Linked DNA regions of Neodiprion lecontei. The main gene of each other region encodes a partner of the protein of the gene in region 2 in a complex. Links are inferred from orthologs where the notes say so. Each region holds a gene or a part of one and is shown on either strand. Other genes may lie near its edges. The genes, in order: cleavage and polyadenylation specificity factor subunit 4 and cleavage and polyadenylation specificity factor 73.

Region 1 (6,663 bases), on a different chromosome or scaffold from region 2:
TTAGGATGAGAACAGATCGAAAAAGTGTGAGGTACACCTCTTGAGGTAGATTCTTACCGATTCAAGGCCACCCGTGTTGTCTCCTATGTAGATTAAATAGATTGTAGCAGACGATACTGGTAGCCTTGAAGCAGTCAAAATCTACCAGAGGAGATGTAGGTACACTGAATATGTGCTCGAGTAATCCTAATACTGAACTCTCGGGAGAAAACTATTGTACTGTTTTCTAGCTAACTAGCTACCCTTCAGCTAATCACTGCAACTTGATGTAAAAGAATAATCTGACTTATTATGGTACCTGAACATTTGGGTACTAGAGTTTTTCTGTGTTAGCGATACCCATTGTGGATAATTGTATGAAGAAGATGTCCAGAGTGACTCACCAATGCCCAGTACAAACCTCTAGATCCATATACATGAAATTTAGGAAGTATATTCCTTTCATAACTTAAGCACCGAATAACAAAGGATTTTGGACCTTGATTTCTAGGGATGAAACGTGTTTTCGTAAATTTCTCAATATTTCTTTGGTCCGGTAAGATGGCGACTCTGCTTTGCTTTTAACGACTACTCATTGAAATACCTAAAAACGAAATACAGCATTTTTCAAAATTCACTTACAAAAGGAATAAAAACGGGTAAAATGTGTTTTCATGGTTCACTCGATATTTCTTAAGCCAGATGCAATATCAACTTGATTTTTGCTAAGTTTTGAGTGTAGCAAACCGTAATATGTGTTACTCGCTAACAATTCGTGAGATCTTAGTATGTCATAATTCATTAAGTTTAGGCCAGAGATATGCCATACTTTTTGATACAGTGTCATATCATGAATGGAGAAATATTCCATTCCGTAAAAGAACACGCAGTTGACTCTTACATGTCGTTAACGATTGCACTTGACACAAATGTCATAAATCCAAATTTTTTCCTTCTTTAAACCCTGAATATTTTATGATTCACGTTTCTTACCATCCCATAGAAAAATTATCCTCTATGTTTGTGTCAAAGCATGAGACTCTTGTAACGTTCATGTTTTATAATTCGTTATTTTTCACATTTCAGATATATTTACGGTTGACGGCAGCCTATCGGCGGTGACAATGTTGCGCTGTGTATGGTGTTTCTGTTTAAAAATTTTACAACAGACACCGGGGAGAGTCAAAAAATGCTTTGTTCATTTTCACTATCTCTTACCCCTGCATTGTTGTATAATTGTTGAAAGTAAAAATGAGTTAAAATGAGATTGGACTATGAGACCGTGTTTGTACAATTGTTTTGCCTTCAAATGAAATCTCAATTTTAACAGGCTTGAATATACACAAACCAAAGGAAATTACTGTTTTGTTTACATATGAACCTCCTTGTACATTGTTAGCTGCAAAACTAAAACTCTGAAGTGTAAGACAGTGAGAATCCGAAGACGTTTTCTTCGATTTTTTTTTCAGCCACCTTTAAGTACATCTGATATAAAATTGTGATGAAATGTTCTTTTTTGAGTCCTGAGTTTCAGACTAACCGGTCTATGTACAATATAATTGTTTTATTATTATTTTATTATAATACGTACAAGTACCATTATATTCAAGTGATTTCAAAGAATAAAATGATCATACTTCCAACATATGACGAACTACTCATCGTCTGTAACTTGGATTTTGACCACTGGCAGCTGCCGCTGCTCCTCCAGTGTGACTGAGGAAAGCTAAATGTCCCTTTGGGCACTTATTCGCGTAGTGTCCTTTTGTACCGCACTTGTAACATGTCACCTCTTCCAAAGGTTTCTGAGGTCCTCGTGGAGGGGGACCGCTGTGTGAATTGATGTGGTGATGTGGAGGATGTGCTCCCTGGCCACCACCCTCCATTTCTTGCCTTGCTTGAGCTTCTCTAATATCAGGAGGCATCTTGTTGCAGTAGATTGCTTTGTGACCACCTTCACCACAAAAGTGGCATGTTATCATCACCTTCTTTCCTTCCTTTGGTTGCATATCTTGGACTGCAGGCAGCTCAAAACGAGGACTGGAACAAAACGTAAATAACGTAATGGAATGCAATTGCTGAGGGGGATCCGAAACCCGGGAATTATATTTGAGTGTACAGCCCATACTAAAAATAACTTGGAGGTGCCAAAACACCGAAGTTTTCCAAAAATTTGTAATTTCAATTCACTTAACCACTTAAACGGCGGGCCATTTATTAGATATATATTATTGATTAGATATATTATTGCTAGATAAGTGCTTATCTAGCAAATTTTTCTCGCTAATATGATATGTTGTATTTCATATCAGCAATAATAAACGGCCTGCCGTTTAAGTGGTTAAGCGAATTAAATTCACAAAATTCCACATATAGCACATGTGTGCACACATCAACAAGCTTCACACACTGTCAAAAATGTGTCTCTTCGCGACGAAACTCAAATGTAAATATCGCTAGAGTAAAAAAACCCAATTGCCAAGTCATCAACATAGTATAATAACAAACATTAGCATGATATACATGATATACATGATAAGTTTGGTATCTTCTATGACGTGCTTTGCGCCATAAAAGATCCTATTCGATGTATTTGTGAAACTGCACAACAGGCAATTTTTGATCTCACAATAAAGCAAATAAGTTCTAGCAAAATTGAAATATAACAACGTTACCTTGGAACAGATATTTGTTAGACATTGCACATTGAAAAAAAATTGAGTCGCAATTGTTTTACCTTTGCACCTGGTCCGCAGTTGAAAAATCGGCTGTTTACAAACTATTGCATGACTCCCGAGTTTGGAAATGTATATAAAAACAAACCTCAAATTTCAAGGATTTTCAAGATTTCCAATGTATGTGATTCTTGTGTTTCAGAAGCAATGTAATGGTGTAATAAATCAAAATCACATTGTTTTAAAACAGATGAATTAATTCTCTAATTCTGTAATATGAAATTGGTTGTTAGATAAAAATAAAGGATACACAGATGATAAATCAATATTCTTGTAACTTACTGCATGAATTTACAGTTTGGTCCTTCTGGGCAAAACCCGGCTAGATATGCCATGCATAGAACCCTTCGTACATGCCTATGCCGGCAGAGAGGACCATGTCTGCAGAATCCGCGATCGTACCAAGGACAATCACGAACTTTTGTCTCAGGATCAATGTGAAGAAACGGACATTCTTTGTTGTGGCACGCATCTGAAATCAAGGATTAACATTATCTACATTTTTTTAATCAGTAACCAGAGCAGTGTCCCAGAAGGAATTTCATTGACATCGAAAATTCGACAAGAATGTAACTAAGAAATATGTTTTTCATTAACCGCATATTTGTGAAAATCCATATTCTACTTTTCCAAAGTACTTTTTGAAATAAATTCCATAATTGTTTCCTAAAAAAAAATGCAACTCGTTTTTCTTATTCTAATCTTGAACAAGACAAGGCCCCACATGTATTGTCCAATTGAATAGCTATAATGATAACAGACTACCAAAATTGAAATGAAAAGTATCACTTTTTCTTGTTCTGAATTGAATAAACGAATCTTGACTTTGAATGCCTTTTTATACATAAATATCAAACAGGTAAATAATGAAAGAGTATATACAGTTACATATTCGTCACTTGCAATCATCATTTTTATGGAATCAAGTTCTGTTTGTGGAAAAATGTTTGGAAAGTAGCAAGTGAATTGGAAAACAGTGAAATGACATAAGCAATTTCTTGTCAACGCAAAATGTGAAACGAACAATGAATTCTGTATAAAGTGATCTCTTACTGAATCGGGAGTAGAAGTAGCATTCAGGCATCTTAGTCATGTCATATTCATGAAGAAATTCGCACTGGTCTCCCTTTTTGCAGAGACCTCGCAACCAGTGTTTACATACAATGGTTCTGTCCCCTCTGACGTGTCTAAAAGGGCAAGAGCCTCCTTTGACACAGGTTCCCCGTGGATAAAATTGACATACTGCAGCGATGGATTCTGTGAAAGTTTTACAAACTGATCAAAAATAGTCTTAGAGCAATATACATCCAGAATGAACAGTCAAATTTTGACAGCAAGTTTGTTTACTTGGAGTACCTTAATGAGGCGGGAATGGTAATATGATATGATGTAATATGAAAGAGAAATAAAAACAAATCAAAATTTAATGATTTAGTATAACCAGGTAAAATGAAGCGGTAAAGCACAAAATCAGCAATAAAATATCAATGTTTTTCTACCGTATAAGTCGCGCATGAATCGAGCATAACCTCAATTTTTATGAGCAAAACTCGTAATACATACTGTCCATCCCCGTGAAAGGTAACGGCAGGGCTCCATACTGTTCGTCCAGAGCGATTTCTATGTCAAATTTCATGTGTTCCACGTTAGCTACAATGCACTCCATTTTTATAACAAATTGTTTTCCACTTATCACGTTGAATTCGCATCTCAGTTTACAAGGGTAGCCATATTCAAATTTTCAAGTACTGCGTGGGCATGAATCAAATCAAATATAACTAGACAACACACTGCTTCCACTTATCCAACACCCGATGCGCAACGAACGACACTTGTATGACTAATTAGACAGTAAGGTCTCGTGCCTGTTACGCTAATTTTTTTGAACTAGTTCATTTAAATCGTACTTTAATCGTTGAACATCACCTACTGGCAGTTACAATATCCAAGGTATACGTTTCAAATTATATAATGTAATAATATAAAGGCGTCATCATATTAACAGTATAATGAGTCTGAGAAAACCTTTCCATAACCTGTCAAAAAAACAGCAAAGGAGACGAGATAATTTTGCAAGTTGTTTAACAATGACCTTTGCCGACGAATTTCTTCCTCAAAATGAGAAATATAGAAATGAGGCTGTAAACGTGCACTGAAACTCATAATTAGGGTCGAAATCCACAAGGTAAAGGATCTGGACAGCCAAAACTACGAAGCGCTTGTCCTGGAAGTCAAGTTTCACCAGGTAGCAGACCTAGAGCGCAGAAACCACGGAGCGCTTGTCATGGAAGTCAAGTTCCACCAGGTAGCGGACCTGGAGCGCAGAAACCACGGAGCGCTTGTCCTGGAAGTCGAGTTTCACCAGGTAGTGGACCTGGAGCGCAGGAACCACGGAGCGCTTGTCATGGAAGTCAAGTTCCACCAGGTAGCGGACCTGGAGCGCAGGAACCACGGAGCGCTTGTCATGGAAGTCAAGTTCCACCAGGTAGTGGACCTGGAGCGCAGAAACCACGAAGCGCTTGTCCTGGAAGTTTTACCAGGTAGCGGATCTGGAGCGCAGAAACTACGCAGCGCTTGTCGTGGAAGTCGAGGTTCACCAGGTAGCTGATCTGGAGCGCAGGATCCAGGCGGTAGAGAACCTAGTACTCGAAATCTGTGGAGCGCGATTCTCACACGTCCTCTCTACTGCGCGGTTGTTTCCGGACTGAGGAATTCGGCGAGCTGATTTTCGTCGCCTACGATTACTATAGATCGATGACGTCAGAGAGAAAAAATTTTGGGTGACGTCACTTTTTGAACATCCGAACATCCGAACATTCAAAATTTGATTCCAAACTTTAATACTCTGTATGATGTATGATGATGTATGATGATTTAATTGTGTTATGCGTATTTTATTGTGTATTTTACAGTGTAACATAGGTTGCCTATGGTACGGCTCCAAACTCCGCGTTCGCAAATGATATAACATACAATTAGGTATAATGAGTGTTAGTCAATTGTAGTACTAAACAATGATATTGTATTTTTCTATGATGCAAGATTTTGTAACACTATTAGGTTTTGATTAAGGTTTATTATTATTATACATATTCCAACCAGGGATATTTTGAATAGTTAGATGGTTTGATCGTAATTTCTGGTTACAAGATTCTCACACTTGGAGTTTATTAGTAGTGTTAGTGACATGGAATAGTAATAAAAAATAAAATATACGAGCATTCCACTCAGATGTTCCGACACCCAGGAAAAAATACGCTTTAGAACCCCTGCACTATGGAGGGTAGAGGTAAGAAGTATCTCATATGGGTTTTCAACTGGAAAAGTATCAGGCACAAAGGGATAAATAATGGTTCAACAAGCCAGAATAGCACTCATAAGTAATAAGGGTAACCCTATGATTGGCGCTTAGCAATCAAGGTTCAATTAGATTTCTAAGGAGATAAGAAAGGTTCACGGAGATCGTCCTTACGTCTGCCCTTCATACCCTGCAGAATGAAACGAAATAAAAAGTAATAATAAATATTAATTAGCCAATCACCACGCGCTTTGGAAAAGCTACTCCAATCGTAGGACTTATTTGTCATTCCTATTTCTTATTCCCTCTCATTGTGCTAGGGGCTCAAGTATCTCTCCCATACTCCTCACCCTTTAACCATAAAGGTAAAGAAGAATCTCTCCATACTCCAAATGTAGACAGAACGATCCTCAATTCCCAATTCAACTGCATGACCATGCTGGAGAATAAGAGTTAGATGTAAACAAACCATAAATAAATACGGACACACTCAGGAAGTTCGAGTAGGAATAGTATTCGAATCAGGAAGTAACACAATACATTTTCCTAGCTAACGAAAAAAGTAGAACAAATTTCGCTTAGAAGCTTGCGATCGCACCCAGAGCACTAGAGTAGAGAAATCTTTTAATAGCTAATATTATGCTATAGTCT
Region 2 (4,960 bases):
AACTACACGACGAACTCCTATACGAGGTCAGTTATACTAGTCATTTTTTCCGTTACAATTCTCTGCATGAGGATGAATTGTTGCACAAGAATAAAATCAAAATGGGTAAATAATCATGATACTCTTACAGGTGAATGCCGCAGATCTTGATCGTGTTGCAGCAATAGTTAAAATTTCAATGGAAGAAGCATATCAGCTAACAATTCCATTGCCTGTTAAAATCAGAGTTGGTCCGACGTGGGGCAGTCTAACAGAATACACTGTTCAGAAGCCCATAGAATCATCTGAATGTATTTTTTAATTGTTGAAAGACGTTATTTATTTTAATTTATATATTTTTCGCTTTTGCGAATTTTTATATGTTAAGAATTTAATTACGAATATTTTATAAATGATCACAACTTTTATAAGATCCACTAATTGTAAATATTATTTATGTCAAGTTCTCAAACTTCTGAAATAGGTTATTTAAGTGTAATAGATCTCATAAATTGTGTAGAATTAAAACATTGAATAATAGTGGTAAGTTTACATGCAAAATTCGTGTCATTGCGATATAGATGGATCAATTTTTGTACACAGAAAAAATCATGATAAAAATTGAATTGTTCATTTTTATACAACTATTGTTAATAACAATTATATTTAATGCAGCATTTACTAATCTTCATATTGCTGCTATCACCGAATCAACTTGTATTGCTGAATTTGTAGAAAAATATACACAATTAAAATTATTAGCTATGTATCATAATTTAAATCTATTGGTTTAGGAAAAGAGAAGTACAAATTGCATGTTGAAAATATCGATCCGATATGGAATATTTAATGAATTAGATTTACAAGGTTGTAAATGTAAAAATTTATAAAGTATCGCATGGCGGAGCCAATGACTGATGTAACTTGGAAACGGCAGTCTGGACTATTTGTTGAAAGGTTTCATCCTCCGTGCTTGTTACTTCTAAATTTAACAAATCTATGTGAGCCTTTTTACCATCAACTGTAACATATAGTTTTTCGCCTTTGAAAATTTTGGGTACCGAATCTTCACCAAACATTTCTTGAAGCATTTCTATCAGACATTCCTTGAAATGCATTCGGTCCATTTTCGTTGGTGCAGGGAGTGTTTTCGGCGGTTGTTCCATCATTTCAGCTTGCAATATTGCAGTCAAAACTGAATCTGCATACATGTCGTTTACAGGAGTCGCTATCCATTCCATTGTGACAACTTTTCCTTCTACAATAACATCAACATTTTTGAATACTCTCATCTTTTTATCATCGATATTTTCTATGCTTCCAGCAATTTGCGTTAGCAAATGTTTCAATACCGGTAACGATGTAGAAAAATGTACGCTTTGTCTTTGAACCACCTGGCTCATGCTCATATCGGTATACTTCGATAAATCGCAAGGCGCCAGTACGTGGTAATTGAAGTTTCTTTTCACCAGAACACCTGATAACTTCTGTCCAGGTTTTGGAGTTTCCATAGCTAAAGTTCCCATAACTTTTGCTGTTTTTTCACCACGAAAATACAGCTCTACTGCCACTGTATTCCTAGGATTGTGTATCTCCATTATGGTGTGTGGATCGTCCTCGTATTCCCTTTGTAGAGCAGCTTTTAATCTGCCCATTTCATTTTGTTCCCCATGAACCAATACAACATGTGGTGGTTTCAAAATCCTAATAAACTCTGACGTCTGTTGATAGTCGGTATGGGCTGAGAATGATATATAATCCACTGACATTTTCAAAGGCAATTTTTGACCAGACATGGTTGTAATTTCTTCGGGTTCGGAGAGGATTGTTTTGGCCAGAGTCCCCTCTACGCAGTAACCGGCGATTATTACTCCATTCTTCGAATCAGTGCACCAAGACTCAAATAATTCTCTGGACAAGCCACTCTGCATCATACCAGGAGATGCCATAACGACACAAGGTCCTATGTCTTCGAAATGATCGATCCCTTTCAAGTTTGATATGTGCTTGAATACAAAAGGGTTGTTAATTGCTATCTGTCTCCGTATTTTATCGTTCATCGCGTTAACGTAAGTTTGATAAACTGCCATACATTTTTTGGCCAAAGACGAAGCATAATAAATGGGAATTTCATGCAACTCGGGGTGTTGGCTCCAGTATTCATCCAGGATTAGCAGTAGCTCTTGTGCTCGTCCCAGGGCAAATACAGGAATCAAGCATCTTCCGCCTCTGTTCACAATTTCGTGTACCAAATTAGTAAATCTTCCTTCTCGATCTTCCCGCTTCTCATGAATGTGAGTTCCGTAGGTGGATTCAGTTATCAAAACGTCAGGATGAATGTTTGGTATTTCGGCAGCCATCAAATGCCTGTCTTCTTGCCGACTAAAATCACCTGTGTACAGTATTTTAACACCAGCAATTTCGATCATGAACATAGCAGCGCCAAGAACGTGGCCAGCATTATATGCCCAAAATTTAATACCGAAGACATCTTTTTCCTCGTGGAAATTTATCGTCTCTATTTTATCCATACTAGTTTCTAGGTCAGACTCGGTATACAACATCTGCTCCGTGGCAATGTTACTGACTTTTATGTAATCGGACAACAACCAGCGATATATAGCTTTTGTCGCGTGAGTCATGAAACAACGTCCCTTAAAACTAGTTTTTTGCAAAAACCAAGGTAAGGCTCCACAGTGATCGAGGTGAAAATGAGATATCAGAAGCAGGTCGATTTCATCGGCTTCTACCAAGTCAACGAATGGAAGAGCATCCATGCCGGAGAGACCTGGATGTATTCCACAGTCCAGCATTATCTTTTTTCCTTTGAATTCCAGCATAATGCAAGATCTTCCAACTTCTTGTCCGGCACCAAGCGGCCGAATCGAAAGTAAATCGCTTTCTTCTGCCGGCACTTGGGTGTCCGGCTTCCGTTTAGATGACATTTTTTAGGTTGTGTTATCCCGAGACACGTACGAATATACACTTGTTAATCAATAACAGACTTCACGTGTAGAAACAACTCTCAACCTAGTATAACTCCTTCGATATCATTATTCATTGAAATATCGTGCTATATCGATTTGTATCGTTGAAGTTTAAAGGTATGGACATGTCCAAGTCCAACTAGCAGTCCGGTGTATCGCGAAATTAAAACAGTTTGCAAACTAGGTACCGGCAACGCAAGAAATCTGCGTAATTCACGTTTTGCACGAAACAATTGAATGAATGCGTTCAAATTGGTTCATCGCAGTGACACACGCGTAGGCATACACAAGGCACAATAACATAAACACAAAGCTTCATTCATAGACTTATATACCTATAAGGTAGACTGAACACCCCGGCCATTTCCCTCGACCCCTGGAACGCCTAACGTTGTTGATGCTGTCTCTTTCTTTCTTATGGGGTTTTCTGAGCCAAGCGCTTAGAGGGGAAGAGAAAGGCAAGTGAGGGGCAGTTGCAGGTATGCCATCCTACATATCCCCACCCCGAGATCGCTAGAAAGAGATGGCAGTATCAACTGCGGATGTAAGACAAGGATAGCACCAAAAACGGGGGAATCGAGGTTCAGGGGACACTCGCTCCGACCTAATGCTCAGTCTGTTTTATATATAAGTCTATGGTTTCATTAATTAAGCTATTTCCATTTTGATTACTATCGACAATGAAGTAGAGTATCGGGTGACGATATATCTCTATGGATGATATATATACTTATATATACATGTCTGTACTTGGTTGCGTATCAGCAGGCGCACAATTTTTCACAGCCATTCGAAATTTGATTTCTTCTAAATGGACGATATAAACGCGGTGTTAAGGCAACGCAAAATCATCGCAACAATATTTGTGCATGCATGGTCTGTCATTTAGAGTCGTAAGCCAGAAAATTGTAAATAATAAATTGTGTGCTAGACTTACTTTGGCTGACCCATAGAGTACATCCATTCGGTTACCGCCTGTGCGATGCTAAAAGTTCACTTCCATATACTCCGATCGCTTGAACCACAAACACTTACATTATCGTCGATCTCCGTACATAATTATTAAAATGATGACCGAAAATCAGTTTACTTCCCGTAGCCGAAAGATAATTCGAATAACTGACAATAGCAATTTTATAAACGTCTAAAAACTGACGCATGAAAAATAACAGTAAAATTTCTCACCTTAACAATAAGTGGAAATCTTTCATATGAGTTTCACTTAGGCGAATCAGCCGGATACAAAAGCAACAAAACATTGGAATAAGTAACTCGTGATATTCATGAATGCGTCCGGGTAAACATAGGTTCGTATCATTTCAAATCGAACTTTGATCGCTGATCGCAGTTAGATGATTACGGATATACTACGTAATTAATAAGTTAATGTTACAGTTAACATAAAATCCGATACATAAATATCGAAGTATAATAATAGAAAAGGTACAAAGATGTCGACGGAGACTTTACAGAGCAAATAACGTGTCGTTTTTTTTTCCAAGAAGCTGCATAAAACAAACTGCGATCGGCAAATGTTTAGCACTTGAAAAATTATATTTCGTCGTACTGATTCATTACTGGTCAACTACGCACCTTTACATCACACTTTTATTTATTGAGAAATAATTTACTTTCGCTTAACACGAGCAAGTTGTTAGATAAATAGAACATTTACAAATGAATTATGGCACTGAGCACAGTATAATTATATACAAAACAATCGCGCCGAATATATACGATAACTGCATCGCGATGCGAACCGACGCGAACTACAGAGCGGATGTTCTGACGCGCCCGACTTCTCGACGCACATTCCCTTCTGTCTTCTGTCGGTAATCGAGGGGCCAGCAATTGTTCCACAATTTTCACAAGATGGCCGCCTGTGATCTGAGCGCTATAGTGGCGAGGCTGGAAAATATGTTCAAATTTGAATCTGACAGTGCATTTAAATGCAAAAATATCTGTTCCGAGATGAAACAGATATAAGAATAACA

Evidence for each region.
Region 1: cleavage and polyadenylation specificity factor 73 (region 2) and cleavage and polyadenylation specificity factor subunit 4 share a complex: the UniProt entries of both Drosophila melanogaster proteins name them as parts of the cleavage and polyadenylation specificity factor (CPSF) complex. The link is inferred for Neodiprion lecontei from reciprocal best matches to the Drosophila melanogaster genes Cpsf73 and Clp.

Annotation. Positions count from the first base shown.
Region 1 is NC_060262.1:20,763,406-20,770,068, forward strand, and holds cleavage and polyadenylation specificity factor subunit 4, read right to left. Parts: upstream 4,595-6,663; 5' UTR 4,381-4,594; coding exon 4,278-4,380; intron 3,972-4,277; coding exon 3,768-3,971; intron 3,187-3,767; coding exon 2,997-3,186; intron 2,020-2,996; coding exon 1,638-2,019; 3' UTR 717-1,637; downstream 1-716. UniProt on the Drosophila melanogaster protein: Component of the cleavage and polyadenylation specificity factor (CPSF) complex that plays a key role in pre-mRNA 3'-end formation, recognizing the AAUAAA signal sequence and interacting with poly(A) polymerase and other factors to bring about cleavage and poly(A) addition.
Region 2 is NC_060260.1:5,312,068-5,317,027, reverse strand, and holds cleavage and polyadenylation specificity factor 73, read right to left. Parts: upstream 3,400-4,960; 5' UTR 2,925-3,399; coding exon 864-2,924; 3' UTR 798-863; downstream 1-797. Other genes in the region: DNA polymerase theta, read left to right, coding at 1-26, 131-301. UniProt on the Drosophila melanogaster protein: Component of the cleavage and polyadenylation specificity factor (CPSF) complex that plays a key role in pre-mRNA 3'-end formation, recognizing the AAUAAA signal sequence and interacting with poly(A) polymerase and other factors to bring about cleavage and poly(A) addition.